Linked DNA regions of Alligator mississippiensis. The protein of the gene in region 3 purifies or fractionates together with the protein of the main gene of each other region. This does not show direct contact. Links are inferred from orthologs where the notes say so. Each region holds a gene or a part of one and is shown on either strand. Other genes may lie near its edges.

What was found.
Region 1: the proteins of RNF146 (region 3) and CHD1L purify together in Homo sapiens (co-immunoprecipitation; 3 studies listed by BioGRID and IntAct, counting the BioPlex papers as one, with this or other methods). This does not show direct contact. The link is inferred for Alligator mississippiensis from reciprocal best matches to the Homo sapiens genes RNF146 and CHD1L.
Region 2: the proteins of RNF146 (region 3) and HLTF purify together in Homo sapiens (affinity purification with mass spectrometry; 4 studies listed by BioGRID and IntAct, with this or other methods). This does not show direct contact. The link is inferred for Alligator mississippiensis from reciprocal best matches to the Homo sapiens genes RNF146 and HLTF.

What each region holds. Positions count from the first base shown.
Region 1 is NC_081824.1:251,905,519-251,915,531, forward strand, and holds the start of CHD1L (chromodomain-helicase-DNA-binding protein 1-like), read left to right. Parts: upstream 1-6,040; 5' UTR 6,041-6,110; coding exon 6,111-6,207; intron 6,208-8,319; coding exon 8,320-8,432; intron 8,433-9,212; coding exon 9,213-9,319; intron 9,320-10,013. Other genes in the region: uncharacterized protein LOC102572765, read right to left, coding at 411-448, 4,910-4,966, 5,086-5,376. UniProt on the Homo sapiens protein: ATP-dependent chromatin remodeler that mediates chromatin-remodeling following DNA damage.
Region 2 is NC_081830.1:61,037,473-61,047,536, forward strand, and holds the start of HLTF (helicase-like transcription factor), read right to left. Parts: upstream 3,974-10,064; 5' UTR 3,876-3,973; coding exon 3,865-3,875; intron 1,408-3,864; coding exon 1,209-1,407; intron 1-1,208. UniProt on the Homo sapiens protein: Has both helicase and E3 ubiquitin ligase activities. Possesses intrinsic ATP-dependent nucleosome-remodeling activity; This activity may be required for transcriptional activation or repression of specific target promoters.
Region 3 is NC_081824.1:110,581,085-110,591,336, reverse strand, and holds the start of RNF146 (E3 ubiquitin-protein ligase RNF146), read right to left. Parts: upstream 3,983-10,252; 5' UTR 3,825-3,982; intron 1-3,824. UniProt on the Homo sapiens protein: E3 ubiquitin-protein ligase that specifically binds poly-ADP-ribosylated (PARsylated) proteins and mediates their ubiquitination and subsequent degradation. May regulate many important biological processes, such as cell survival and DNA damage response.

The sequences.
Region 1 (10,013 bases), about 140 Mb from region 3:
TGAACCCGAACTCCTGAGCAAGAAGTAGGCTTTTAGCCCCCAACTCTTCATCCAACTTCCTGGCTCCCCCCACTAACACTGACCTAGAACACTGGGTCTGTATACCCCACATCTTCAAGAGATGCCTTACTTTTTCACAAAAATGCATGCAGAAGGCACAGAAGCAGCCAGGTGAAGTTTCCATACTCCAAATGGACTATGAAAAAAAAGGGTTAAACCCTCCCTGGCAGTACGATGGTCAGAGCAATTCAAAGAGCCAGTACATGCTTAGCGGATCTGGGCAACTCAACACTAGTCTCTCCGTTAAATGTCCCTAATTATACAGCCTCTCCCTCTAAAGAAGTTATTCCAGATAACCCAGATTTGTTAGGCAATGCAAAGCATGTAGTGTAGATATAGAAAATTCTTACCTCATTAAAAATGGTACTAAACAGAACTGCCCGAAAGCCTGGAGAAGAAGACAGAGGAGATTAAACAGGCAAAACAATATACGACTACCATACCTCCTTTCTCCAACTCTGGGAATACTGGCCAAGCTCACGCCTACTCCAATTTCATAATCTCCCACAGCAAAAAACAGTAGAGACACTGTTTTATTTTAGCTTTGATTCTACTACAACATTAAATTTAAAAAGAGAGACAAGAATCTCATTTATACAACATCAAGAAGCAAGTCAGTGCTTAGCACTATCAAATCTGAACCCGTTTACTAAGTCGTGAGAATTTCTCATGCGTTTCTTTAGGCTCTCCACTAAAAATACTTCAGTGCTAACACCCTCACATTGCCCCATCACTCAGAAGCATGCAGTCCCAGATAACAAGGTTAAGTTATCCATAAGACATCTATAGATTCCACCCCAAAAAATAAAATCTGCAGCTTTGAGCAGAACATGCAAATTCTGGACGAAAAAAAAAAATGTTAGCATATTCCATATGCAAGCAGTTTCCCCTCAATGCCACTGACACTTTTACCCTATTAAACCAGTGAAACTGGCCTCCTTCTCAATCCAATCAGCTCAGTAGGGCCATGTCCAGACACGCAGGCACGTGCAGTTTGTGGCTCCACAAACCAAACATTTGGAATATTAAAATGGGACCAGTGCTGCAAATTTGCAGGGTGGGGGCAAAAATTGCTACCAGGATTTCTAGGTAGCAAAAAAAAAAAAAAAAAAAAAAAAAAAAAGGTACCAGGAAAAAAAAAAAAAAGTGCAGAGGATAGGAAAATACTGTGCCAGAACAGAGGCTTGATCCTCCAGCGAGGCACTCTGACAGCTGGCCAGAGCATCTCTACTACCCCATTTGCGACCCTGCTGCTCCAGCATGCCAGGAGACAGGAAGGGCTGGATTCCGGCAGTTTGCCCAAAGCAGGACAATATATCCCATAACAAAGCACACATAGGCCACGTCCAGACAAGCACAGACATGTGGAGCCGCACATGCAGGTGTTCCTCATATTCTTACTTTGCAGTGTGAGGGAGAACGGGGGGGGTTGACACTGGGAGATTCCCAGGCAAGAAAACCCCCAAAACGGGGTGGGTACATGTGGCAGCAACGCATGCCACCCAAAACCAGAGCCTGGCTGGCTGGAGCTATGCTCCAGCTGCCACCCAGGCTTTCTGCCAAGGTGACAGCCCCAGGAAGCCTCCAGGAAAGGCTACTGGGGCTAGCACAACTGTTGGCCCCAGCCTCCCCTGCCCCACCTAGGATAACTTACCACGCGCCAGAGCGCGTATGGCATGGGTATTCCCTGGGGACAAGGTTACTTGTCCCCAGAGAAACAAGTGTTCCCCCTTGTCTGGACATGCCTATACAGGGTGTGTGCAGAGACAAAAAGTAGTGGCACAAATCTGTGCCGCTACTATTTGTACCACTGCAAATACACACCCCTACACATCTCAATGTGGCTTACATGTTAGAATTTTCTCTGATCCAGACTAGGAACCAAGGCACTCAAAATTGTCTTTACGCTGTTGCTAATGTGTCAGTGCTAAAGGTTATAGATATCAGTTGTTTTCTATATTGAAAATGAAAGACTGCTTAAAAGCACAGGAAGACATTGTGGGGTGGGGAGGAAGGTGAGGGGGAAAAAAAAAAAAAAGAACCATTATTATTTGCTACAATTTCCTATACACTTCTCTAATACCTGCATTTAGCAGGTAGAAATAAACAGCTAGAGCAGATTATTAGGTTTACACTTATAACAGCTTCTGAGATCTCAACACATTTTACCAACATGAATATGGATAGAGAGAGATCACCATGAGGTTTGGAAATATTTTCACTCCCCTGCATTTTAAAAAACGGGAAACTGAGGTACAAAAAAGGAACATGACACAAGAGTGGCAAAGCTAGAGGAAATGAGGAATCCTAGCTCCCACATCACCTGCTTTAGCCACAGTACTATACATCATGAGGCTTCCCCACAGCACCACTAACAAAACCTGTAGCTGATTAACTTCTGCAGTTGTTAAACTCAGGGTCAATGCACAAAATTAAGTTGTGAATGAAGACAGTTCCCAAACTACCTGTTCTTTACATGTGGCAACATGGGCAAAATATCATTATCTTGCTAAGACAAGACATTCTGCAAGAAATTTGTTTTGAAATAAACATCATGGGACATTTCCATCGAGTCCCATACCAAAATCACCTCATACTGTGGCTCAAATAACTCATGTTTGTCAGCACTCCACTGTGTGAGAATTCCATGGCTGTGCCAACTTCAGAGGGAGAAACAACTAGAAGAGCAGGAATAAATCAATGTTCCAGAACAGCTTAACTGGTGAAGCAAGCGTTTAATCTTTGGACAGAGATCCTTAGGTTTCTTGGTTGGGAACACAGTCAAAACCAGCTTAACTGTCAGGATTCTTTTCTGCCCATTATACTTGGCTTCACTTCTAGACTTTCCCTGCAGATGTCAGAACATGTGGGAAACAAGCATTTCTTTTTACCGGGCCCTAGAGAATGCGTGGATCAACAGCTTTTCGTTACAACATCCCACTAGAACTGATCAGACACTGAATTTTTTATTGCCATGTCCCCTGAACAAGTAAAGGGGTAGCTTTGGCTTTATTCCAAAAAACAAAACAAACAAAAACCCAACTCTTTCACCTGCCAGCCTTGCTTAACTGAGCTGTTTAACATTCTTCTGCAAGCTAGGAGGAGAGAGTTGGTTGCATCTGTCCTGCTTTCAGAGGCAACAGCCTGCTTTGTCAGATGCTGTCTAATAAGGAGCCATTCAGCCTGCCTTTTGCAAAAGGCTGCTGTTTGCTGCCTTGTTTACATGCCAACATCTGTACCATTAAAGCTAGACCAGGTGAGAAGATTGTTCCCCAGGCAGCAGATTAGTTAGGCTGTTCTTGTTTTTGGAGCCTTCAGCAGCCGCACACACAAAGCCAACATATGGATTACATTCATTCGGGGATACAGGTTTTAGCCATGTTGATCTACAGTCAAAACCAGTCAGAACTCTTTGTTGAGGCAATATCTTTCATTAGGTCAACTAGGCTAAATTTTGCTTTTTTGTAAAGCCATCTACTTGGTCTAATAAAAGATATTACCTCTACCAAGAGTTCCGACTGCTTTTGCCTGTAAAATCAACACGGCTAAAACCTGTATCCCTAAAACAATGAAGATATCATAATCAGCCGTTTTTAAATGAAAAAAAATGAAGTTAACAAAAAAGCAGCAAAATTCAACACCTGAGACCTGGAGGCTACCACCCCCATGGGCTCCAGCCTTTTGTTCAAGCCAAATTTGCATACCTGCAAAACAGACTTTACACAACAGATATAAAAAAATAAAATAGGAGATGCAAGACTTTATATAATCTTGAGAGGTTTTTTTCTCCCCCCCTATAACCATATTATTTCAATAAAAGTTAGAGAGGTAGAGGGAGATTAAAAACCTTGCCTGCAGTGCTGGAAGCCCAAACACAGTATCTTTGTACAAGAAGCACTTGGTGTTCTATAAACAAACAGCAGATCACAAGAAAATGCAACTATTTAGATAAAGTCACATGCAGAAAGAAATCCTGGCGAATCCTTGAGGCATAATCAGGGGATTTCAATGGTATTCACAGTGCTAACAGACTGCCTGCAGCCAACACAAACATAGTTTGGTCTGTAGCATATACTCCACATTACAATGCATAAATAAGTAAGTAAAAAAAAAAAAAAAAAAGCAATAATGATTACAGTGAACCTTGACTACAAGAAATTGTATGTTTCACTCCCTACTGGAGTGCATTACCTACCCTGGCTAGGCCACTGCAAAGGACCAGCTTATGAGGTCAGGTCTGCAGCTAGGCTGGGACAAGCCAGCCACATAGGGGCCACGTAGGCACAACCGTGGTAAACATAGCAGATTGGTAGTGGTCATAGGGGTAATCACATTATTGGGAACTTGGAGACAGCTTGCTAACAAGAAGCTGCACCTGGACAGCGTCCCTCCTCCTACCGCTAGCCCTTGGTCTCAGAGAGATGTTACTGTGCCGGGGGGGGGACTGTCAAGACCCCCTGATTTCTTACAAGCAACAATCCCCGACCGACAAGCCTCTGGAGTGGTGTTCTACCCTTTCCCTTCACGGGGTACAGGTGTCCTTTTAACCCACATCAAACGCTCTGCTTGAGCAGCCTGAGCAAAGATGCAGAAGCTGTCTTACCCACTTAGCGTCAGGGGCATTTTGATGTGGATGGGTTAAGCAGTGCCTGCCATCCTGGCCCTTGCCCTTTACACAGGGTTTGTTTTTTCTTGCTCTGACCAGCTTTGCCCAGGGCCAGGGCTAAGCCCTGCACACAGGAGTAGGCTGGACCCCCCCCACACACCTACCCCAGCAAGCTCAGGACAGCATGGGCCCTGCCTGGGGGGCACCAGGCGGGCAGCACAGACAGGGCAGAGTGGTACTCACCGTGTTAGCCAGGTGGACAAGCAGCCGCAGGGGCTGGCCAGAGAGCCGGGGGCCCCACTGCAGGGAGGAGAGGAGAGGAGAAAAGTCACAAGGGCTTGCAGCTGGAAAGGCACCAAGCCGGGGAGACCCCACAGGTGCCCCTCCCCCAGCCCACCCTCTAGGGCTCCTCTACTTACTGCGTCCCGCGGGGGCTGGAACCCAGCGGCCCCGACCCGCTCCCGGCACTGGAAGACGGCGCTGGGGGCGGCGGTGAAGCAGCGCACGAAGCCCAGGTAGAGGAGGAGCAGGAGCAGCAGCGCCGCCGGCAGCAGCAGCGCGAGCGCCATGGTCCCAGCGGGCAGGGCAAGGGCGCAGGGGCGGTGAGAGACCCGGGCTGCGACGGCGCGGCAGCGGCGGGGCCGGGATTTGTGGCGGGGAAGCACGTGGGACTGCTGCGGCCCGGGGGAGGCGGGCAGGGCAGGGCACATCCCGGGCCGCTGCAGATGCAGCACTGGCTGCTCTCGCCAGGCCACGGCCAGGCGCCCCCCGCCCCTGCCCGGGTGATTGCCGGCCGCGCGGCTTCCTGGCTACGGGGGTCTGCCCCGCTGGGCCTCACGTGCCCCAACCTTACACGGGGGCGAGGGGGTGTAGGAGGGTGTGGGAGAATAGGTAGGGGGAGGGGTGTGGGTATAGAAGGTGCAAAGGGGTGCGGGTATAGGGGGCATAGAGGGTGGGTGTAGGGTATAGTGGGGTATGGGTGTAGGGAGTGTGTGTGGAGGGGGCGGTATAGGGGGGTGCGGGTGTAGGGACTGTGGTGCTTCTTCTCTGGTGACACTTGCCCCTTGGGGTCGTTTGCTGCTGCCGGCTTCCCCCGTGTGGGCCCCGCTCCGCGGAGGCCAGGAGCGCAAGCTTGGTACCCGCTGGAGGCGCGCGAAGCGAGCGGCTGGCATTGACTTGCACCCCGGATTGGAACGCCAGCTCGTACTGTCACAGCGACTGCCCAATCAGCCACCGCCAGCCCCCAGCCAGCCAATGGCAGTTGACGCGCGACTGGCCTATGGGGGGAGCGTTCCAAGCCATCAGCCAATCCGCGCCTCGCTGCGAAGCCAACTCGATACAATGTTGCAATGCGGCTTCCGGCGCCTGAGCTGCTGGGTGGTGCTGTTGCCCCGGGGGTGGGTAGGGGGCTGCCGGGCCGAGGCAGCGGGAGGCGGCCGGCGGGATGTCTCGCTTCTTCCAGGCTTTTTGCAGTAAGCCCCAAGGGCGGGCAGGCGGCGCGCCCTTGAAGGAGGAGGACTTGTACCACTGGGGCCTGGCAGGTCAGTGCGGCCGGCGGGGCCGCCCCGAAGGAGGGGTTGCCTGTTTGCGGGCTTAACTTGGCTGGATCCGTCAGGGACTTGCCGGCCAGGCCCGGTGGCTTTAGGGTTGGACAGTATCAACCTCCTTGCCTCAGGGTGCTGCGTGGAATCCTCCCCCTTTGACAGTCCTGCCTTGAGCAGGGGCTGGACTAGGTGACCTCTTGAGGTCCCTTCCAGCCCTGCTCTCTTACATAACCATAATGCACCTTGTGGGCCAGGTTCTTCTGTCAGGTAGTGGGTGGAGCTCCAAAGTAAAACCTTCATTCCTTCAGTGGAGCTTCATTGGCCGCATGACATGTCCTGTAACCTCCCTGCAGTTGCTTAGCCTGCGTGGAACAGGGAGCAGAGGTTGTTTTTGTGGAGGTCCTCTGGAGCTGAGCTGCTGTAAGTGGGTCTGTTTAAAGGGAGACCTCTGAAATGAAACAGGTCTCCAAAATCAACTTATCTGCTGACCGGCCTTGTAAGCTTGATGTGGAGAAGGATGGGCTTCCCTAACCTGGGAGAAGGAAGAGGGTTTTGGTTATTTTAATGAAAGGAGAAAAAAATACACACACACACACGCTGTGACTGCTGCAAGGAGCTAGGGTAGAGCTGTGATCCACTGCGTGCACACCCCTGCCCAGAGCATACAGGCTGCAGATTGTGACTCTGCCCCAGCTCCGGACTACGCTGCCATGGCTGCAAGATCCCATCCCGAATGCAAAGCATCTCCATGTCTTGCCACGTGCCCTGCCAGCACTGCTGGGGCGGATCTCCATGAAAACCCCTGCCCCATGCTATCACAGTGTGGCTGCTAAGGTCCCCATGGAAACCAGACCTAGGCTTGTGGGCAGGGGCTGCTGGGAAATGAAGTCCAGCTACCGGCCAGGTCCACCATTTTGCCCATCCTTGATATCCATAGAGTGCCAATTGCTTCTGCTGCTTGACTTTACTGCAGCCAGCTGTGGAGGAGATTGGTGCAGGGGGGTTCTGCAGCCCTGCTCCTCTGGCTGCTGACAAGCAAAACTACGTGATATGGGTGCTTGTGCAACTGCCACCCCTGCAGTTTTCACCCCCCTGTGGTGTAACACATACACATGACATGAGTTTTGCTTTCAAGAATTTGGGGTGCAGTTGCCCCCAAACCCCTGCACCAATCTTCTTGAAACTTGGCAGGCTTTGTGGCCTCAGCAGGGGCTACCGCCCCTGCAAGTTTCAGACAAAAAGCAACAAAGTTATAGATATTTCATTGATTCCCCATTATACCCTATGGCCAGATCTCTGAGGCGGCTCATAAGCTTCGGACGGATCAAAATGGGAACCCGGTCCGGAGCTCCGGAATGGATCCCTGACATCCAAAGCGGCTGGATCCGAAGCCCGATCGAATAGCTGTCCGCTCACACAGGCCTAGTGACCACTAGCTAAGTCGGGTTGCTCTGCTTTGCGCTACGGTGATGATATAACCCTGCATGATTTTTGCTCTATATTTCATAGGGAGCATTTCGCAGAATTTGGAATAATGGCCACGTCCTACCACCCAGTCCTGTGCCTTAACCACAATAACATCCTTTATCCTCAAAGTAGATGGACAGTTTGTAATAAAATCACCTCCAGTTTTTAACAGAAGGCTTTTACTCCATCCCCTTCTGTGAGAGAGAAATTCTGAACTTTGCAGCATGCTGAGGAGGGATAAAGCTATGTTCTGACAGCATGAGGGCACATGGCCCTCCAAGGAAGGGGTTTATCAAGGAAGATGACACCCAAGCAATTTCCTTTTGTTTGATTTCTAGGAGGTTATGGAACTGGTACCTTTACTCACCTCACCCACAGCAGTCCAGCTTGCCAGGGAGGCAAGTTCCAAATCATTAAGGGCTTTCAAAGTTAAAATTGGCACTTTTTGTTCAGCCTGGAAGCTTATTGACAAACAATGCAGATTGCGAAGCACCTGTAAAATATTTTTTTGGCATGAAAGCTGACTTGGTAGGTAGGCCTAATCTGCCCTGTGTTTCTACATCTGCAGGATTACAGGATGCAGTGCCAAGTAGGTTGTGTGACAGTTTTGTGTAGCTTTACCAAATCACTTTTGTGTTTTAGGTATTCAGCTACGTTCCTACCAAGTGGATGGGGTGAACTGGCTAGTACGATGTTATGAAGATCAACATGGCTGCATCCTGGGCGATGAGATGGGTCTTGGAAAGACTTGTCAGGTGCCTCTTTTTATTTCTCCATGGACAATCAATTTTGCCTATATTTTGTCTTCCCAATGTTCCTGCAAGAGGTAGGAGAGGAATTCCTTAAAGTTTATTTAGATTAGGACCAAATATTGATGTCCTTGAGAAGAAAAAGGCCTAAATCTTGATTCCTTCTGCTCTTGCTCAGTTAAAACACTTTTGTTTTTTAAAATAAAAGGCAAAATTATATTCTTAGGGGGAAGACTGCTTTGAAGCTCCTGCTTAGCTGACAACACAACTAGCTATTAGTATCATAAGATGTTGCTTTCGTGACTCTCTGGGTAGATCATTTTACAAAGTTCAGTTCTCAGAGCAGAGATGGTTAGATTTGTATAGCTGTTTCATAGCCTTTTTTTTCCTTGTCAAAATAAGCATTCCACTTCTGTTAAGAATTTGGCAAAGCGAGCTTGGTGTGTTTCTTCAACTGACAGTATTCCCTGAATTTTAAGTGCTATGCAAATTACTCACTTAAAATTAGCATATAGTACATTGCATTCTTTCAACGTTACAAGGGAAAAACATTTCTGAGTAGGGGACAGAGTGCTCCCAGATTAGTGATAGAATTGGACTGCAGCTGCAGTGCATTTGATTAATTCTTTTCCATAGTTTGCAGTGCTTATGGTCAGGGTTTTGCCATAGTGAGCCTGTCAGGAACCAGCAGCAAAGATGGTGTTGGAGGGAAGGTTTGTATTTAGATTGTGGGGTTTGTTTTGGAACTGCTTATTATTGACAACAATTCTTTTCTTTGTGTTCCAGACCATTTCTCTGCTTGTGTATTTGTCTGGAAACTTTATAAACAAAGGGCCATTTCTTATTCTTTGTCCTCTTTCTGTACTGAGCAACTGGAAGGAGGAACTAAAGAGGTGAGCCTTAGGATTATGATGCAGACATTTGCTCTCATATCAGTGAGTTGCAATGATCACTTAGCATATGCTTACACGGCTTATGGTTTTTTAAAATTAAAGGCAAGACACTGAAACATCAAGTTTGTGGCACAGAAAGGCACAGTTCACAGCTAATGCATGGTTTTCTGTGCAACCTTGTGTATTGGGATGTCCCCTGTGGTAGGGTGCATAGTACTGGGTGACTCCTGGCACAGCTGCCCCCTACTTCTCCTGGCTTTCATTGTTAATTGTTGTAACCTCAATGCTCAACATCCCACTGGAGGCAAAGGTTAAGGTCCAAATTAAGCCTGCCCACACACAAGTGTATTTACTGTGTGCACACGGATCGGGTAAGGAGAACACCATTACATCTGTGTGTGTAAGGCAGACCTGTGTGCACTAGATCAGTTGATGGTGTGGCTATTATTCATGTGTTTTAAAACTGCGTGAGTGTTAGAAGAAAAAGACTGCTTTTGAATTGTGGGAATTTGCTGTCTCTCAGGAGGATGTGATAACTGATCAGGCCATGAAGTGAACTGATGTAAATCAACAAGAATTTATTTATTGTGAGGCATGGCTCAGGGAATATACATTGCCATCTATTGTGAGAAGGATATTCAGATATTTATGGTGGGGTGAGGAAGTAAGAGAGAACTCCATTGCGATGACTTCG
Region 2 (10,064 bases), on a different chromosome or scaffold from region 3:
TGCCCTGCAGGTAAGTCTGTGAAGGGGAAGGGGCAGATAGAGGCTCCCACAGTGAGGGAGTGGGGCAGGGGCTGGAGCTGGGGCTGCTGCCCAGCCAGGGCAGTGAATGGGATGCCGGGGCAGGGAGTGGGCTGGAGCCACAGATGGCTCGTCCAGGTTATCAGTCCAGGAGCTTAAAAATGGCAGTGGAGGCAGCCGCGCTTAAACTAAAACTTGTCAGATTTGTGCAAGAGGTAGATGCAGGCTGCCTGCTGTGGGCTCAGGACTCTCCACCCTGCTGCCTTTTGCATCAGGAGCCGCGCGCTGGCCACACCACATACCCAAGCCCACCTCGCGGCTGCAGGAACAACTTGCCACCCTCACTGCTGCTGGACAGGCAGGGGTCACACAACCAGCACACAGCTTCTGGGGTAAAAAGGCAGCAGAGCAGACAGCCCTGAGCCCACAGCAGGCAACCCACATCCACCCCGTGCACAAATCTGAGGAGGCACATGCCCCTCCATGCCTCCCCTGGGGAGCATGCGCAGCAGTGGGGAGCTGCCCCTCCCCACCCCCCCGCACTCCCCAGAGCTCCATCCTGTTCCCAGCCCTGGGGTCTCATTCACTGTCCTGACTGCGTAGCACCTGCCCCTGCTCTAGCCCCTGCCATTCTCTCCCCCCATTTTCTCCCTCACCGTGAGGGGCCTCAATCTGATCCCCCCCCCATGCCCCTTCCCTTCCCCACACTCCTTACCCTCCACAAACTTACCTGCAGGGCTCTGGTCTCCAAGCTACCATGCTGTTTTCTTGGCTGCAAGTATGCTGTGGCTGCGTGCATGCATACAGCATTTATTAGTTACTTTATCAGCTACACCAGCCAAAAAAAAAGCCAATAGCCAATAATGTTAATTTTCCTTTTATCTGTGCTGATCTGATATTGCACCAATATATTGGTGCACCTCTAACCAAAACCATCAATAAAACATTCATAACAGGATCAGGAACAAGAGTAGCCACAAACATATTTGTGACAAAACTTAAATACATGAATAACAGTAAATGAATGAAAGAAACCCCACTTCTGTTAATATTAGGAACAGTAAGACAATTCTGGAAAGCTTTTATACCATAAAACATAACCTTTGTCACAGTTTACCATAGCTTTTCTTCCATTTTCTTAACTGGCTCTACTTAGTATGATACAATTGTACTATTCACGCTGTACTTACAACTCCTGTGTAGTAGCGTAATCCAACTACATTTCCTCGCAGATTTCCAAACAGGACAAACAAATCTAAATCCTCATCTGTCCCTGAAGTGTCATCTGTATACAGAAAGTCTTCAAACCCAAGAGCAGAATCAACATCACCAGAAGAAGAACAGGAATAAGTCCTATTTCCTCCATAGCCTGTAGATGAACCATAGTTTCTGCAAGAGGACACAATGAAAGTTACCTGATAATGTTTTAAAACAGTGGGGCTCAACCCCCTGGCCCATGGGACAGAACCAGTCTGCAAGCCCCATGTCATCTAGCCTTTGGGGATCCCTAAAGGTCTGGAAATTTGACAGTGGAGAAGCAGTGGAACCGGCTGCCTGCTGCCAGATTTCTGAACCCATGGGAAGCCCAGGCAGAGCTGGAAGGGCGCAGTGCCAGGTCCTTGGGCCCAGTACTGACACACGAGGCAGAAAGAGCGGTGCCACACACTTGGGTCCTAATCCCAGCATGCAAGGGATAATGCCAGGTACAAGGGACCCAATCACAGCACATGGGACAGAGAGGGTGCAGCTCTTGGCCCCAGGGCCCAATCTGGCCAATGGACTGGCCTCACACCACTGGTCTGGCCTCTGGGGGGCCAAGAGGCTGAGCAACGTTGTTTTAAAACAAGTGTGAATATTTTAATTACTACCATTTTTTCTTTTATAAGCATCTCTAGTTCTACCCTTTTACAGTAAAATTATACTTACAAAATCAGTTTCACATTGTTTTACCTCACTATTTTCACATAGTTTATACTTACTTTAAAGGAAAGTCAGACATAAAATTAGTTTTACATCAGTTTCACACAATACACAGTAAAAGAGATTTGACAACATAACAGGATCCTGACCTGTTTCAAACTGCTGCTGAGGTAAGTTACATCTCACCTCAAGAACATCAGAGGACTAAATTACCTGTAATTTTTCCTGATGATTGTAAGCAGGGGTGCTCAATCCCCAGCCTGTGGGCCAAATTCAGCCTAAGGAGCCCTGGCATCCAGCCCACAGGGTTATGTGCAACTTGATGAAATTTGTTGGCAAGAGAGCAGTGGCACCCCCCGCCAGGTTTCTTAGCCCTGCGCATCCGGTTCAGGCCAAGGCCATTGCCACACAGCCCATTTGAGGCTCTGGCTGGGCCTGCCCTATGCAGCCCCTGGCAGACCCAGAAATCTGGCACATGGGATCAGGTCCCCCCTCATCCCCACCCCATGCCCATCCAGCCCATGGGATGAAAAAATTGGGCACTGCTCCTTGAGAGGATGCAGTTTTCAGCTGACTACAAGACCACGGCATCAGTACCACATCTGCATTTTAGAATGTATTACATGGAAGGAAACTGGTGATAAGATTTCATTTTCTTTCTATGTCTGCTTTATAGAAACACCAGAAGAATAAAGGAAGAAAGTCTCCAGACAGAGGCAGAAAGGAAAGGGAGAAAACTCTAACTTCTTCCACAGCAGGGAAAATAATGTCTTTTCTTACAGCAACCACAGAAAAGTTGTAAGAAAACAAAATTACTCTATTCTTCTCCCTGCTGCAACTAGGGGGAGGAGGACAGAAAAGAGTGGAGCCATTCCAAAAATAAGTCTTCCCACCCAATATTCTGAAAGGAGGGGGGCAAGCCTAATTTTTTACATGCTTTTCTAATATGCAAACGAGACCCCCCTAAAAAAGATAATTACTGTACATTGACACAAGACCACCTGCACTTCATTTCCTAAAGGAGGCTGGAAAGAAAGGAGCACTGGCTATCACAGAACACTGCTCCTGAATGTCAGTGCCCTCTTATTCTCCCACCTTCATCAAGGCTGGAAAGCATGAAGAAACATGAACCATGTTTCCAACCTTACTTACAAGTCTTTCAAATGAAGCCTGGCCCAGCAGAATCTTTTGAATCCTAAGATTATGCTTTAAAGTGCTCGTGTATGACAGGTGTGGAAATAAAGGTCTCTTGCTGTTTGTGGGAACCGCTAACCAGCCAAAGAGACTCTGCAAGAGGCAAGGATTTTTGTAGGTGCTATCTTTTACTGGACCAACTGCATACTGGGCCCAATAAAACACCATCACCCATGAAACCCATGGCCCCTCCCATGTTATCTGGACCATCATCACACCTTCAGCGCCACTCCTGCACTGCAAGAACTTGCCAGGCCGTCCTGCAGCTGCCTCCCAGCGCGCCCATTTCCGTGCGGGCCTCTCAGTCCCTGTCACTGCGCTACAGCTTTACTGGGGCTTGGTCTGCACCGGCTCTGGTTTGTGCCGTGCAGGGATCGCTGACACCTGCCTTCGGGTATCAAAGGTACGGCCGCGGAGCCACGTCACCCAGCGCCTGGGGCTCGAGGCCCGCGCGCTGCGTCGCCGCACAACTGGTCGCAATGGGGCCCAGGCGAGACGCAGCTCCCAGGGCTGGCGCGGGCCCCGCTCGCCATGTGCAGGGGCCGAAGCATAGGCCCAGCCCGCACGACCCCGCACCCTGGATCAACCCGTAGGGCGGAAGAGTTCAGTGCGCCCGGCCCCCCCTAGGGCAGGGCCAAGGCACCCGGAGCCCCGCCCCGCCAGGCTCGCCCCGCCCCCGCGAAAGACCCGCGGCTCCGTCCCGCCCGCCCCCCGGCCGGCCGTGGGCCTCACTTGGCGAACATCCAGGCCCCGAGGCGGAGAAAGGCACCAGCGCTCACAACCCGCAATCTCCCGCTGCCCCGCACCGGCTGCTTGGCCCTACTGACCGGAGTGACAGCAGCCGACACCAACCCCCGCCCGCGCCTCCAGGGATTTCGACCAATGAGAACAGGACAATGGGGAGGGGGCGGGACTTCCTCTCATTTGCCCGCGCGCTCTCAAAGGGCCTATAAGGACCCGGTCCGGCGCCCGCGGAGGCCTCAGACTAGCCCCGCCCCCCTCGCCCTGCGGGATGGAGTGAAGAAGGGATCGCTCTTCACTGGGTCGTCGTAGCGCTGCTGCTGGCGGCGGGCGCGGCCCTTGCGGCCACATGGCGTGTCGTGCCTGAGGCAGACACGGTTCTTTGGGTCAATACGATATAATTTATTCGACCAACTGAAAAAGTTGGAAAAATTCTTTGCAAGCTTTCCCCCAAGAGCTTGCAAATCATTTTTTCCAACTATTTTAGTTGGTCGAATAAATTACGTCAGATTTACCCAAAGAACCTTGTCTACGTCCTTAGACAACACAGATACAACCTATAGCCCTGATGTTATACCTAACACATACATGACCGGCTGCGTCATATAATGCACTCTCATGTGCAGTGCCAGCTCGGTGCTACCCACAGCTGGGCGTGCCACACAGCCATTGTGAGCCACGCCTGTGTCGCATGAACATAGAAACAGGATGTTTGAGGTCACGTGAACGCATTTTTTTTAAGTTTTTCACAACTCTGAGCGTTGGCGACATAGAGGGTGCATGCGGGTGTGCATCCACCCCTTGAGATTGGCAGTGCACCCCCTGAAAGAAGCGCCGCCACTGCCATGGCACCTGCAGGTGGTCACTACTCACTAACCCCCCACCACCACCATCACCAGCAGCGTCTGCATGTGATCACTGACCAATGGTCAGCACTCACCATGCCTCCGCCGCCACCACCGCTGCCTGTGGGCAGTCGCCATGCCCCCCCCAGCCTCCAGGGCACGTGCAAAGTACTTGCTACAAAGCTCCAAACAGCTATAAAGTTAGACCTTGAAAATGTGTACTAACTTTACAGCTGGTTGCTATCCAGCTTTAATTTACAAGTAGCAGGGTGTCCCCTGCAGCTTGGAGCCCTGTCAGCTGATTATGCCCACCATAAAAGCTCCAACAGCCACAGTCCCCCAGGCCTGGGGTTTTATGGATCCTTGAGCCCATGAACGATGCATGCCTCTGGAGGCTGAGCAGGGCACGGCGACTGCCAGCAGGCAGTGGCAGCAGCGGCAAGCAGGGAGCTCCTGCAGGTGGCTGCTGTGGTGTCAACAGCAGGGGTGGCAGGGTGGTGCTGAGCAGTGACCGCCCACAGGTGCCGCCAGCAGGCGCCGCCAGCAGTGTCAGCAGTGCTTTTCTCAGGACGTGCACTGCCAATCTCAGGGGGCACACGTGCACCTGCATGCACCCCCTATTCATTGCCAATGCCTGAGCCTTGGGGATCACAGCAGCAATGATCTCCCAGGCCCAAGGGTGTGTAGGGTGCCCCCACAGGTGGAAGCTCCTCAAGTGAGGAGGCTCCCAGCTGCAGGAGCTTGCCTCTTACCTGTGCAGGATCAGGCTCCCCCAACACATGCAATAACAAGATCTAATGTGTGATCCCACAATCATGTCTCCTGCCATGCATGCATGGTATGGCAGGAGGCACAACTGTGTAGATCTTGTGTTAGATCTCATGGCACCATTACTTGAATGTGTAGTGAGGGCTAAACACATACTCTTTCTATATACTGGGGATATTGTGTGATGGCGATTTACTTCGTGGAGGTGTTTACTACACTGAACCCCCAACAGCATCATCAAAAGGCAGAAATGTAACTGGGCAGTTCTTGGCCCTCGGATGGTGGTGCATGGGGAAGCTGTGGCAGGTGGCACAGCAGGTAGGAGGGCAGGGGCTGCTATTTTTGTGCCCTCCCCCGCAAGCTGGTGCCCAGGGATAGAACCCCTGGTCACTCCCTAGCTTGCTTCTCAAAAAGAATTGAAAGTTCTCTCCTTGCAGGATTGCAATCTTCGAAAAAATGGTTTCTTTATGGGCTGCACAATAAGTGAAATTGATCTGATGCTGACCACAACTTCTGCCACAGCTGTAACTGACTAAGCTGTAATTCAAATCTAACAGATATCACTGTAATCATGATAAGGAAAATAAAACAATATTTTGTTCCTCCACACACAATTAATGCATAAAAAGAACAGGATAGATTTTTTTTAAAGCTTTTTTTGCTTTCCATGTTATAAAAACCTCCACCATTCAAAGACGCATGTAATTAATTTCAAGAACCAAGTAACTAACTCAAAGGATGTTTTCATGAAGTTTTAAGGAAAAGAATGCTATCCAGTGAAATAATAATTGGTCTCTTAGAAAAGGATTTATAACATTGTCTTCAATGATAAACTTTCCTGCTAGCTAACAAAAATTATTTTGCTTTCTAGCTAGAGATAAAAATCAGTGTCAAAAGAGAAAATTGTTTTTCAACTGTTTACCCATAAAATCTTCCAGTGGTTTACGTGCGGATTAACAATTGGCAAGCATTCTAAACAGTGAAATTAATACATAAAAGTTTGTTGACCATTTAATATCTAACATAACTTCAATTCTTCATTATAGTTAAGCAAATTATGCACTTATCCAATGGGTATACAAGTAGAGAACACCATAGTGCATTTTCACTTCGTTCATAGCACATTTTAGGTCCCACATACAGAAAAAAATTCTAAAAGGCATTTTTCCCAGCTTTTCTGCACAAAAAGTTACAAGCAGATGGGATACCAGGAGGCTACTTGTGAACTAGTCATGAAAATTCTAACAAAGCAATTTCCCATAGGGATTTATCAATTCATTGAAATCAAAGCATTCCACACAGATGGTTCATTTGTTAACAAATTTCAGCCGGCCTTTCATCAAAAAATGGCCTGCTCACATTCCTTACCTGGTAATTTGACATGGAACAAGAATCTGGAAATGACTCTCAACCTCTTAGCACCTCCTATATCGAGGTAGTCCTCAAGATAGACCGAGCCACAGAACTTCCCAAGAGCTTCACAGGCTCAGGGCAGCCTATCAGTCAGTCTGTTTTGGAGTCAGAAACCCATGTGACTTCCAAAAGCTGCTGCTCCATTCCATTTTGCAGAGGACTGTGAAAAATTTTGCTGTCATTTTGAGTCTGAGAAAATCAGAACTCCAAATATCAAAATCTTCTGTAAAACAGAATTACCTTCCCCCTCCTTCTCTAATGCTTATGATCTTACTGTTACCCCATGCTTTCCTTCCTGTGTTCGTTGTAGCCCGTTGTTGTCTTTCGAACTGTAAACTTTCTAAGGCAGGGAATTTCTAATATATGTGTATAGTTTGGAAAAAATTGACTGAGGCCTCAAGACATCATCATAATCACTGCCATATATCAATAATATAAGGGCAGGATTGCAGCTGCTCTCTCATCCAGAATGAACAGCACAGCTATAAAAAACACAGAGGGGAATACAAAAATATGTAGCAGATGCCAAACAGTTTAGGTTCACCCTTAGTATCAGAAGTAATTTCCCCACACATTTGTTTTTTAATGAAGTTTTATTGTCACTTTTTTGGAGAAAAAAGGCATGGGAGCAGCTGAAGCTGCGGTGTATACAAGGGCTAGGTATAGACATTCAAAGAGCCCAAAGTGGAATCAATCAAAGTTATGCAGTTTTCTGTAAATGGCATAGTTTAAATCAGTAACGAACAGGATGCACCCTTTCTTGGGGGAGGTAGGGGGGAGGAGAATTTTAGACTTGGTTCCATCATTTTTACACCAGTCTATGCATGCTGAACTTCTGCTCTGTTATGAATATAGTTTGATTTCCAGTCACTTTGGGTACCTGTACAGGAGTGCAGAGGCCGTTCCAACACACTGTAATCGATTAATTAAGTCTGCTGCAGTGTGGTAATTACCGTGCTCCAGCAGCCTCCCATATCTCATATATCAGCATCCCCGTGCTTCAAAACAGCGGCAGGGGTGCTTTAACTAAAGCTGCTGTAATTAAAGCAATGCCCGCCCCATGTGTAAAAGTGCCCTTATAATGGTAAAAGTGTGATGTTTGTACCTGGCCAAAGTCCCTACTCAGGCTGAAAACTACAGCCTATATTTTGAGGCTTTTATTCAGATTCATTTGAAAAAATTAAATTCATAGTGGAAAAGGAAAAACATCCTTATTCTTTAAGCCAATAAAAAAAAAATTGTGGAGTTTTGTAGAGATTAAAAGAAGCAGCCAAATCAGCATGTTAAGTGAATCAAACATAATCCTTCCTATTATTAACTTTTAAATTTTAGTAAATAAGAACATTGCAATAAATAAAAAATAATAATTCATTTCCCATCTGAGAGAATCTGCTCAATGTTTCACACAGAATTGACACAAGATGGCACTGTTTTGCAGCTTTTCTTTATCAATGGCTTCATCATCTGTAACTTTTGCCTTTGAATCCAATGAATCCAATCTCATCTCCTTCTATGACCAGGTCTCTCACCACCTGGACATGGGAAACAAGGTAGAAGGTATATACCTAGACTTCCAAAAGGCTTTTGATCTAGTATCCCATGATATCCTCGTGGGAAAACTGGAAGACTGTGGGCTCAGCTGCTTGATGGTTCAGTGGGTGGGAAACTGGCTACAAGGTAGGACCCAGAGAGCTCTCATGAACAGATCTGTGTCATCCTGGTGTGAAGTGGCCAGTGGTGTCCCTCAGGGGACCGTACTTGGACCGGTACTTTTCAACTTCTTTATCAATGATTTGGATGGGGGAGTGAAAAGCTCACTGGCCAAGTTCACAAACACCAAGTTATGGGGCAGTGTGATCATGTCAAAAGATAGGTTGCAGAGACAGACAGACCCAGACAGGCTAGAGTTGGGCAGAGTGGAACCAGATGAAGTTTAATACTTGCAAGTGTAAGGTGCTCCATCTGGAGGCAAACAACCCTCAACATACATACCACTCAGTGGTAACAGCTTGACTTGCACCAGGGCCGAAAGGGACCTAGGAGTAATGACTGATCATTGCATGAATATGAGCAATCAGTGCAAGGTGGTGGTCTGTAAATAATATGCAGGGCAAATAACATGCTGACATGTGTCAACCAATGCATCTTGTGTAAAACTAAGGACATGATACTCCTGCTGTACTCAGCACTGGTGAGACCACAGTTGGAGTACTGAGTCCAGTTCTGGGCACCACGCTTCCATAAGGATGTGGAAAAACTTGAGAGGGCCCAGAGAAGAGCCACCCGCATGATCAGGGACTTGCAAGGCAAGCCATACGAGAAAAGGCTGAGGGACCTGAGCCTCTTTAGCTTAAAGAAGAGAACGCTGAGAGGGGACTTGATGGCGGCTTACTATCAGAGGAGTGCATCAGGAGCTCAGTGAACAACTGTTCACTGGGGCATCCCCAGGGAAACCAGGATCAAAGGATACAAACTCCTGGAAGGCTGCTTCAGGCCTAATACCAGGGAAAACTCCTTCACAGTCAGGGTGTCCAGACTGTGGAATAAACTCCCTCCAGAGGTGGTGCAGTCACGTATCCTGGAGGTTTTCAAGAGGAGACTGGACAGTCATCTCATTGGGGTCACTTAACCCCAGTTGTCTTCATACCTAGTATGGGGGCCTGGACCCGATGATCTGCAAGTTCCCTTCCAGCCCCTAACAATCTATGAATCCAGTGGAGAGATTTAAAAATTTTATTACAGCATGTTAAAAATGGTAGTTACTTACATGGTCTTGTATAGATGGGAGCAAATATAAGATCCCATGCATGGCAGCTACTTGGCACATTGTTGGTATAAGTTGATGCAATCTAGAACATGCACTTAGTCATGCAATCTGCATTAGCCCCGGGGTAAATGAGGTAAAAGTATTTCAAATTGTAGCTATGCAGAGAAAAGAGACCAAGACTCCACACGTGGTAACCACATTGGCACAGAGTTGTGAGGTAATAACATATTCTTAGCAAAAGGTTTAGCAAGTGGTGTAAAATTGCCGGGGTGGGGAAAAGTTCAAGGCATTAAAAGTCTTTTTCAGTTGGTGGCCTGTGTGGGAGGAGAGGGTTGTCAGTCCATCCCCTCTACCACTTCTGGCCAATGGCCTTAGGCAGCTGTCATTGTATTGGTGAT
Region 3 (10,252 bases):
ATCACACACTGCTGGTTATGATATATCACCCCTCCCTCGAACCCATATGGAAAATCCTCAAACAATTGCAACCCATACTAGAGAGAGACCCTATTTTTAAAGAGATCTTCCCAGAACCACCCATCCTAGCCTTCAAACAAGCACTGAACCTCGCTAACCTCATCACCAGAAGCAAAATTCCTCAGACCCAGAACACACCAAATGGATCCAGACCATGCCATGACAAGAAATGCTAAACCTGCCAACACATCTCCACCACCCCCACTATTACTACACCCCACAACAGAGCCATCAGTATTCCCAGATCTTATAGCTGCACCTCCAGAAATGTAATAGATTTCATCCAATGCACCAAATGCCCTGATGGAAAATACGTAGGAGAGACCAAACAACAGCTGTGCACTGGAAACCTATCAAAGACAGGAATACTCAATTACCTGTGGAGGCACATTTCTCACAAGAAAACCACTCTCTCTCCAATCTCAGTCCTGATCCTTAAAGGAAACTTACAAAACACTTCCCAGAGATGAGTCTATGAACTCCACTTCATCATCCTCCTGGATACAAAAAATCATGGACTAAATATAGACATTGGATTTACGGCACATTATAACCTACCTGACATCTGACTCCCCAGGTATTTCTTCACTATTCATCCCCCTTCTCTCCCTCCCACCCAGCCTGTCTCTCACCCACTGACTCCTCAGTCTACATCTTCACTGACTGCCTGTCTTGTATGTATACCAGCCTAGCCCCTGGCTTCTTTACTTTTCATTCCATCTAGGAAGAGCACACATCAACTGCTGAAACTTCCTTAGCTTGACCCAAAAGTTTGCTTAAAAATTGTTTTCCAACTATTTAAGTTCGTCTAATAAAAGATATCAGATTCACCCAAAGAACCTGAACCTTGTCTGCCTCTGAATGGAAACAATGCACTCGGCTTTACCCTTTCTCAGACGAGGTCATTCCTCCCTACCCTAACTCTGTCCACTACATGACATGAAGAGAGAACAGCTGGCTATTTGCTACTTGACACAAAGGAAATGCTAGGAGGAATACTGGTGTCTGCTTTGTACTAGAAATTAGAGTAAGAGGCAAAATACTGAGCCTGAAAGCTGTAATATTAAAACAAATGCTTGCTTTGTTCATCTGAATGACATGGTATCTGAATGATACAGCTTAGAAAAGCTGAAAACATGCAACATGAATATAAGTCCCTGTCCGTGTTTTATGAGCCCCTGCTTATCACTCAGTAGATTTTTTTCCTCTAAATATTGCTGTAACTACTCAGTTGGTTTAATAAAAGATATCACATCTACCCAAGGAAGCTTGCCTGCCATATTATACTAAGATTTTTCTCAAATGTATTTGTTTTCCTTGGCACTGAAGTCTAACCAAATGTGGATGATTTCCAGATCTCTTTTTTATAGTTTCAGAAGGTTGTGGTCCAAGATCCTCCAATTCTTTTGTACTGCGTTTTTAGTCCAAAATGGTTCTGACCATAAGAAGACCATTCCATTATAAAGAGAGTCTGGTGGCAGAGAGTCAAAATTAGAGCTTTTCTATCACTTTCTCTCCCTATGGCCTAACAATCCCAGTTTTCTTTGGAACTATTGTTAACTAGTGTGTAGTGGTCTTCAGATGTGATTCATAAGATGGTATCACTTAGACACCATTACATTCATTTACATCTCCTGAGAGGCAGATCCAGAAGGATTGTAGTGGCATGGGCAAACACCCCTTTTGGACTACACCACACTAGCAACAGCAGGGACATTTTTTTAAATTTCCAAATCAGATAAGAGTCATACGCCCCTCACTCCCCACCCTACCCCCCACTCCTGGCATCTGCTTTGTTCATCTCTGTCCGTAGCAGCATGTCCTTTCCTCTCCCATTCACTCCTATCCCTTGCCTACCACTACAACCATCCCTGGCTGATGGAGGCAAGCCTAGGGTTACTATATGGCCAGATTTTCCTAGACATGTCCTCTTTTGGCCCCCATCCTCATGTCTGGGTGGGTTCTTAAAATGCGAGCAAATGTCTGGGTTTTTTGCTTTGCCTCTGCTTTTCCCAGGCACAAGCAGCTTGGATGTTTGAGGCTGGGAGCAGCGGGCAAGCTGATTGGCTGTCAGGGGTCACGTGCTCTGTGCCCACACTCCGGCAAGTAAGTAAGTAAGTAAGTAAGTGTGTGTGTGTGTGTGCTTGTGCATGCAGGCAGGAGCTCCATGGGCAGAAGGGCTGGGAGGACAGGGGACTCTGGGTTGAGAGTGAGGGGCACCAGCAGGGCTGGGGGGACAGGGCTGTGGGTTGGGAGTGAGGGGCTCTGGCAGTGCTGGGGGACAGGGGGTTGCAGGTCTGGAGTGAGGGGCACTGGCAGGGCTGGGGGAGCAGGGGCTTAGGAGTGAGGGGCAGAGGCAGGGCACAGGCATATCACTGCCCCCTCAACAATCAAATACCCTTGCCCCCTCACCCCCCTCAGCTCACTTCGCCCTCCCCCCCCCCCCGTGTCTTTTTTGATCCTGAGAATATGGTAAACCTAGGTAAGCCCCAGAACTGTGCCCGCCCCATTCCAGCTAGGAACAGCAGTGGCAGCAGCAACAGGCAGGTTTTTCCTCTCTATCTGATGTCCCTCCTTTCCCCCATCCCCCCTCTATCCCCGCCCCCCACGATGTTCCTTGCCAACACAGGAGCAAGCACCTGGCAGAGGAACCCACAAGCTGCTGCTGCTGCCTCCTGCTGAGCCCAGCTCCAATTACTCTAAAGTTCCTCGCCCTACAACCCTCCCAAGCCACACCCCTTCCACTTGATTTCACAGGGGGGAAAGGCTCCAGAGCTGCTGCAACTGAGCTGAGCAAGGGACAGCAGCAGCAGCAACACTGGATGGGTTCACCACTCCACACCTGCTTCTTGCTGGCAGGGAACTCCTTGGGGCACCAGGCAGAGAGAAGGAACCTGCCCGGTGCTGTCACTGCTGCTACTGTTCCCAGCAGCAATGCAGTAGTGGTGACTCATCAGCCAGGAACAGCAGCAGTGGTGAGCAGGAGAGGGGATGGGAGGGGATTTACAGCTGAGGATAGAGGAGAAGAGAGGCGGTGCTGAGAATGGATGGAGAGGCACAGGATTTTTACCTGGTCTGAGGGCTTAAAAAAAGACCCCACTGCTGCTCCCGTGGTATGATCTGCCCTCCTGGTGGGGGGATGCAGCCAAGATCAGGGTTCAGCTACTCCTACAGTACTGGTCACTGCTCCTGTACCCTCCCCCCCTTTTCCCAAAACCCCTGTTCCACCAGTGTTCATAAGACTCTAAGTGAATGTAGGTAGAGCTAAAAGAGTCTGCTTGTCTAAAACCCCCTTGTCTGCTTGGGGTTCCATCACTAAAATTCAGGTTTCACTTGGATTAGTTCACATAATTCAAATTCCTGCTTTGCCATGTCTATACTTGCTTAAGTATAATGTCTAAACTTACTTGCCTGCCCTGGTGCAGATACACTGATTGCTAGCCACCAATTGCTGAATCAGGACTATACAAACACAAGGCCTAAGTTAGTGAAAGGGAATCTAACTTCCTGTACCTTAGGCATCATTTTTATATTTAGCTTATAGAATACTCAATCCTATGTTCTAAATGTCTTCTCATTTAACAGCCTTTCATTACATTTGCCATTTATATCATAACCTTTGCATACCCATCTCACTCCTTCCTGACCCATTCCCTGTCAATAAAAGATACAGTCTGAATACTGAATTGCCAACCCCCAAGTACTCCAAAATCATGAGTCAGGCATCCTTAAAGCCTTAACATTTCACAAATAAAACATTTCACCTTTTCTCCTCCAAGTTCTCCTCCTCAGTCTTCATCCGCCTGGCTTAATGATTTCAAGCTTACTTCTTTCTTCAAAAGAGAGAAGGAATTTATTTTTCAGTTGAGAGTCTCACGTTATCACAGGTCTCCAGAAGTTGGCACTCTGTAAGAACTACCAGATATCAGAAGAAATGGCAACACAATAGGTCTTAGATAGAGGCCATAGTGAATGCTAAACGAACAACAGACACTGCATTTTTTGTTTTTGTAATAAGAATAGCACTCATTGGGTGTGTCCATACAATCATTTTCCAGGAAACTGTACATCAGCATGTTAGACTTCCAGCTGAGGGAGATATTTAAAACAGGAACACAGTATTGAAGCTTTTATAAATATCCAGCAACACAATTCATTGCTAACGTGTTTGCAGAGGACTCAAACTCTTTCAACCACGCCCTACTCACCAGATATATGTGCTACTGAACTCTTGGCTGAGTTCCCAATTCTTGAAACAGAACAGTTGACTACATAGGTCTAATAGTGCAGTCCCTTGTGTCTGAAACAACAGACTGTTTCTCAGGGAAGTGCTATATTTATGGCTACATTTAGAATGTTTACAGTTTTACTTTTATAAAATGATCACTGATGTGGCTCCATGCAGTGTTTGTGAAGAAAAGTAAAAGAAAAGCAGATAGACAAGAGAAGGAAACATAAAGCACAAAGGAAACATTGAAACAAAGAAACTGTAACAATCTTCCTGTTCACCCTAAGCTTAAAACATGATTGCTTAGAATTTTAGCAACTGAGAGGGAAAGACAAAAACCTGTTTCCATAAGATATCCTAAAAAGCCATATGGGAACACCAGAAAAGCTTGTTCTCCTGAGCTCTTACTAACACCTTCCATTGCTGTGGTAAAATTCAAACCTTAGGACATAAAAGCTAATTGACAGAACGTGCCAGCTGACTAGTGTTTTATGAGTGAAATGCTTTTGCTGTTTTTTCATAAAAGATATAAGGACATTTCACACTGGATATTCCAGTGAATATGGTGGGGTTTTTTTTAAATGAGGCTTTGGACAGAGGAACAAATTATACTAAATTAAAACGGGTAGAGTAGGGTGGCAGTTTACCACACATCAGATGTTTTCCAATAACTTTTCTTTTTTTTTTTTTTAGTGTTGTGTTCTAACCTACAAAATTTGAAGCTAATCTGTGATGCCATAGGGTAAGCGGCCTCAGTTTAGTTTCTACCTTCTGAGGGACAAGATGGACATGCAAAAACAAAATGAAAGCAGGGGGTACATGGCAGGATGCCCTGCTTGTGCCCGTTTCCCTCCCACCCAAAGCCCCTGCCCTTCAGCCCTGCTGCCCTTGCCCCCCAGCCCAAAGCCCTGTGCCCCCCAGCCAAGGCCCCTGCCCCCCAATCCCGCTCATGACCCTTGCCTCCCACCCAAAGCACTTGTCCCCCAGCCCTGATGCCCCTTGCCCCCCAGCCAAAGCCCCTCTCCCCCAGCCCAGGGTCTGTGGCTGTCAACAGCTACCCAAAACCTGGGCCAGCTGCAAACTGCAAAGCAGAATTGGAACCCGGAGCAGCAGGACACAGTGGGATGGGGGGCAGAAAACTGCCTGATCAGAGCTCCCTGCTGCCCTGCCACACTTCCCCTGTGTGTATGGGAGCAGAGTGGGCAGCAGCGCAGGGTTGTGCCCCTCACTGCTGCCCCCACCTGCAGGGGAAGTGTGGCAGGGCAGCGGGGAGCTAGGAACAGGCAGCTTTCTGTGCCTCCCCTCTGTGCCCTGCTGCACCAGGTTCCAACCCTGCTTTGCAGAAGTGGCAAGGGCACCACAGCAGGGAGAACTGCCATTATCTGCTGCCTCACTGGAGGCAGAGGCCTGGTCTGGGACTGGGAGGCAGCTGGGGCTGGGGCCAGGGCAAAGAGGCAGCAAATGTTTGCAGATGGCCCAGGTTCTGGGTAGCTGCTGATAGCCACGGAGCCCAGGCTGCTTGCAGCAGGGCTTCCATGGGAGCAGCCCCAGGCTCCTTGACTATCAGCTGCTACCCAGAGCCAGGGCTGACTGCAGCCAGGAGGCTACAAATAGCTGCTGCCCTCCTGCCCCGGCCACAGCCTCAGCTGTCTCCTAGCCCCAGGCTCCAGGAAGGCAGCAGGTGCTGGCCCATTGGGGCTGGGGAGGCAGCAGCTGTTTGTACTCCCAGCTGCAGGTGGCCCCGACTCTGGATAGCTGCTGATAGCCATGGAGCCCAGGCTGCTCCCAGCAGGGCTTGTTGAGCTGTCTGCTGGGAGCAGCTCTGGCTCCTGGCTGGCAGCATCTACCCAGAGCTGGGGCCGGCTGCAGCCAGGAGGCTGCAAACATCTGCTGTCTCCCCTGCCCCAATGTGTGTCGAGGAAAATGGCCTCATGTACCATGATCAGCACGCGTGCTGGGGGTTGCTGACCCCTGATCTAGATCATCCCAGCCAAGGCTTTGTCTAGCCAGGTCTTAAAAACCTCCAAGGATGGAGAGTCCACAACTTCTCTCAGCAACCTGTTCCAGTGATTTACTACCCTCCCAGTGAGAAAATTCTTCCTAATATCTAACCTAAGCTTCCCTTGCTGCAACTTGAGACCATTGCTCCTTGTTCTGTTATCCCCCATCACTGAGAACAGTCTAGCTCCATCCTCTTTGGAGTTACCCTCCAGGTAGTTGAAGGTTAAATCCCATCTCAGTCTTTTCTTCTCTAGACTAAATAAACCCAGTTCCATCAGCCTCTCCTCATAAGTCATGTGCCAGCCCCCTCACTATTTTCATTGCCCTCCACTGTACTCTCTCTAATTTGTCCACATCCTTTTTGTAGTGCAGAGCCCAAAACTGAACACAGTACTCCAGATGTGGCCTAATCAGTGTTGAGCAGAGGGGAATAATCACTTCCCTTGATCTGATGGCTACACTCCTACCAATGCAGCACAGGATGTTGTTAGCCTTCTTGGCAACAAACACACTGTTGTCTCATATGCAGCTTATTGTCCACTGTAACCCCCAGGTCCTTTTCTGCAGAGCTGCCACCCAGTCAGTCAGCCCCCAGCCTGTACCGGTGCATGGGATTGTTCCAGGGCTTTGCACTTGTCTTTGTAGAACCTCATGAGATTCTTTTGGTCCAATCCTCGAATTTGTCTAGGTCTCTCTGAATCCTAGCCCTACCCTCCAGCATATCTACTACTTCCCGCAGCTTGGTGTCATCTACAAACTTGCTGAGGGTGTACTTTATGCCATCTTCCAGGTCACTGATAAAGATATTGAACAAAACCGGCCACAGGACTGACCCCTGGGGCACGCTGCTTGATACTGGATGCCAGCTAGACATTGAGCCATTGATTGCTACCCTCTGAGCCCAGTGACCCAGCCAGTTTTTTATCCACCTTACAGTCCATTCATCCAGCCCATACTTCCTTAGCTTACCTCTGAGAATATTGTGGGGGATCACATCAAAAGCCTTGCTAAAATCAAAATATACCACTTCCACTGGTCTCCCTGCATCTACAGAGCTAGTCATATCATCATAGAAGGCAATCAGGGTGGTCAGGCATGACTTGCCCTTGGCAAATCCATCACCTAATCACCTTCCTAATCACCACCTTCTCCAAGTGCTTAGAAATAGATTCCTTAAGGATCTGCTCCATGATTTTGCCAGGGACTGAGGTGAGGTGAGGCAAACCATGCTAATTATGCTGTTTCAATTTAAAAGCTATTAATTCATTGAAAAATACCTGTAGATATTTCATATGATGGTTTCATAAATGATTCACTCCTACAGCCATTGCTGTGGTGAGCATTTCAGTTGTCCTCATTAAGAGTGCATCTACGTGACAAAATGCAGTGTCATGTAGATAGACATACACTAGCTTATTTAAAGATGAACTGAACAAGATGACTCAAATTCCAGGAGATGTATAATTGTGTTACCTTGAAAAACAGGATAAATGAGTCAGGGCAAAGCTACCATGTTACTACAGTCACACTGCTTCTGGTACCCGAGTTATTTTGTTTTGAGGCAGCTCAAGCTTCTGTACTCAGTGCTTTCTGCCATATAGATAAACTGTCACATTGTTCACACACATGGATTACAGAATCAATTCCACTATCAAGCACTGTGCCTGTTGTTTAGTATACAAGCCATCAGGTATGTCTGTACCACTTCCCTAACACCCTTGAGACTGCCTTCATGCACCCATTCCCACACACATAGGCAACTGGTAGGGGTGGCATGGGGAAGCCTTCCCAGGCAGGGCCATCCCTTGCTGCCACCACTGCTGACGGCTTCTGTGGGTGCCCCCTGCAGACTCAGGAGGCATCAGTCACCCATGCCCAAACAGCAAGTGCCAAATCCAGAAATGAGTTGGTTAAACCCTGGTTGTTCCTCTCATACATACTAAGCACAGGGAGCTTGAGAGCAGAGGTGAAGGCTGTGTCTTTTGCTATCTTTTGTCTGTTGTTTAGGACTTAGACCTCTTAGGGGCAGGGATCTTCTTTACATTGTGTGTGTATACAGTGACTAATGCCAGGGGTCTCCAAGTTGCCACTTGTATGGCATCACCTGCATACTCACTATAATGGGCTGAGGAATGATACCGAGAGTATAAGGCTGTTGTTCCAGAAGCATAAAGCCAGTGTAGGGACTTGTTCCCCAGCCCTACCCCTTGCTAATAGAGTGGGCTATAGCCATCAAAAAGGTGGCATTGCTGGGATGCCTTTGTTTGCACATCATCTGAAGCTACATATTTTTTGTTTGCAGCAGCTGTTTCAGCTGTGTGTAAGCTGGAGCAGTCCCCTGGCTTCAAGCAAATTTAACTCAGTGCTGGTGGACTGGACCTGTGCAGAGTTCTGTCAGAAGTTGGGGGTGCAGCCATGGGGAGCTATCAGTTCCTTTTGCATACATGTTCCTTTTATTGCAGGCTATAAATTTATCTTTATTCCCTGGATTTAGCCCCCATCTTTCAGAAACTAACAGTCCTGTGCACAAATGTTGTGCATTTCTTTGAATGAACTCCATTAGGTCTCCACGCCAAAGTGGCTAGCTCTATTTTAAGAAACACAAGCAGGAAGTTATTTACCTGTTGTCAGTCACCCAGAGAGTCTGTGCAGGAAAACATACTTGCCTGGACCCCTAGATTACTTCTTTCACAAGACATGGGAGGGAGCAGAGGGAGGAAGGAAAGGGGGAATCAGGCTGTTCTCCACTCATATTGGTTTTATACCAATGTCATTTTAATAAGTGGCTTGAAGTTAGTCCATGTGTCTGTTGTCCATGATTCTGAGAACACAATCAAGATTTTAACCCCAATGTATCTTGGACCCAGACTCAATGCAATTTATCCCTTTCATCTGATTTTTTCATCTGAACTTCTCATGAAAAGAGTTAGAGCTCATCAGAAATGAAAGAAGGCTCTTTAGCAGAGCATCCCTAGGGGAGGAGAGTTGGAGTGAGGCATCCAACCCCTTCAGCCACAAGTCACCAATTCTAGGGAAGGTCAAAATAATCCACTCAATCCATAGGTCCTTCTCTCTCCTTTGCTGACTGATCTGTGGAGACCCAAGGAGGGTCCCTGCATGACTGGTGGAGGGCAACATGGCTCTATGGCAGGGGTGGGCAAAATATGGCCCATGGGCCAGATCTGGCCCACAAGGCCATTCTATCTGGCCCGCAGGGCCCCTAAAACATTTAGAAAATTAATATTTATCTGCCCTTGGTTCCTGTCAAAAATGACAGGAACCAAGGGCAGTAGGACCCAGGGGAAGCCCAGTGGGCTCCCACAACAACAGGGCCCGCTCAGCCCCGCCCCACAAGCCAGAAGCCCCAGCAGGGGCTTCTGGCCTGGGACCATGTGATGGCCCCACATCGGAAACTCAAGTAAAGTAATGGGGAAGGTGGGGGGGAAGGGCAGGGGAGGACCCCAGGCAGGGAAGGAGCCCAGGGAAAAGTGGTCCAGGGAAAAGCTGAGCACGGGGGGGAAAAGTGGCCCCTCGCCTGCCCCGTAGATGGCACCCTGCACTGCAGCCACTTGCAGCCTGCATGGGGCTGCCTGTGCCTGCTCCGGACAGCCCTGTGTGGGCTGCGAGCAGCTGCAGCAGGGAGCGCTGGCCATGGGGCAGGTGAGAGGCCACTTCCCTGCCTCCCCACCCGCTCAGCTTTTCCCTTGTCTCCTTCCTGGCATGGAGAAAAGTGACCCCTCCCCCGCCCTGTGCCCAGACCCCCGTGCTGCAGCCTATCACAGCCCATGCAGGGCTGTCCTGAGCAGGCACATGCAGCCCCATGTGGGCTGTGAGTGGCTGCAGTGTGGGGCACTGGCCATGGGGCGGGCATGGGCCACTTTTTCCCCCACCCTGCACTCAGCACCACCTTGTAACCCGGCCCCACTGCCAGCCTGGGCCCTGCACCATTGGGGCTGTGTGTGG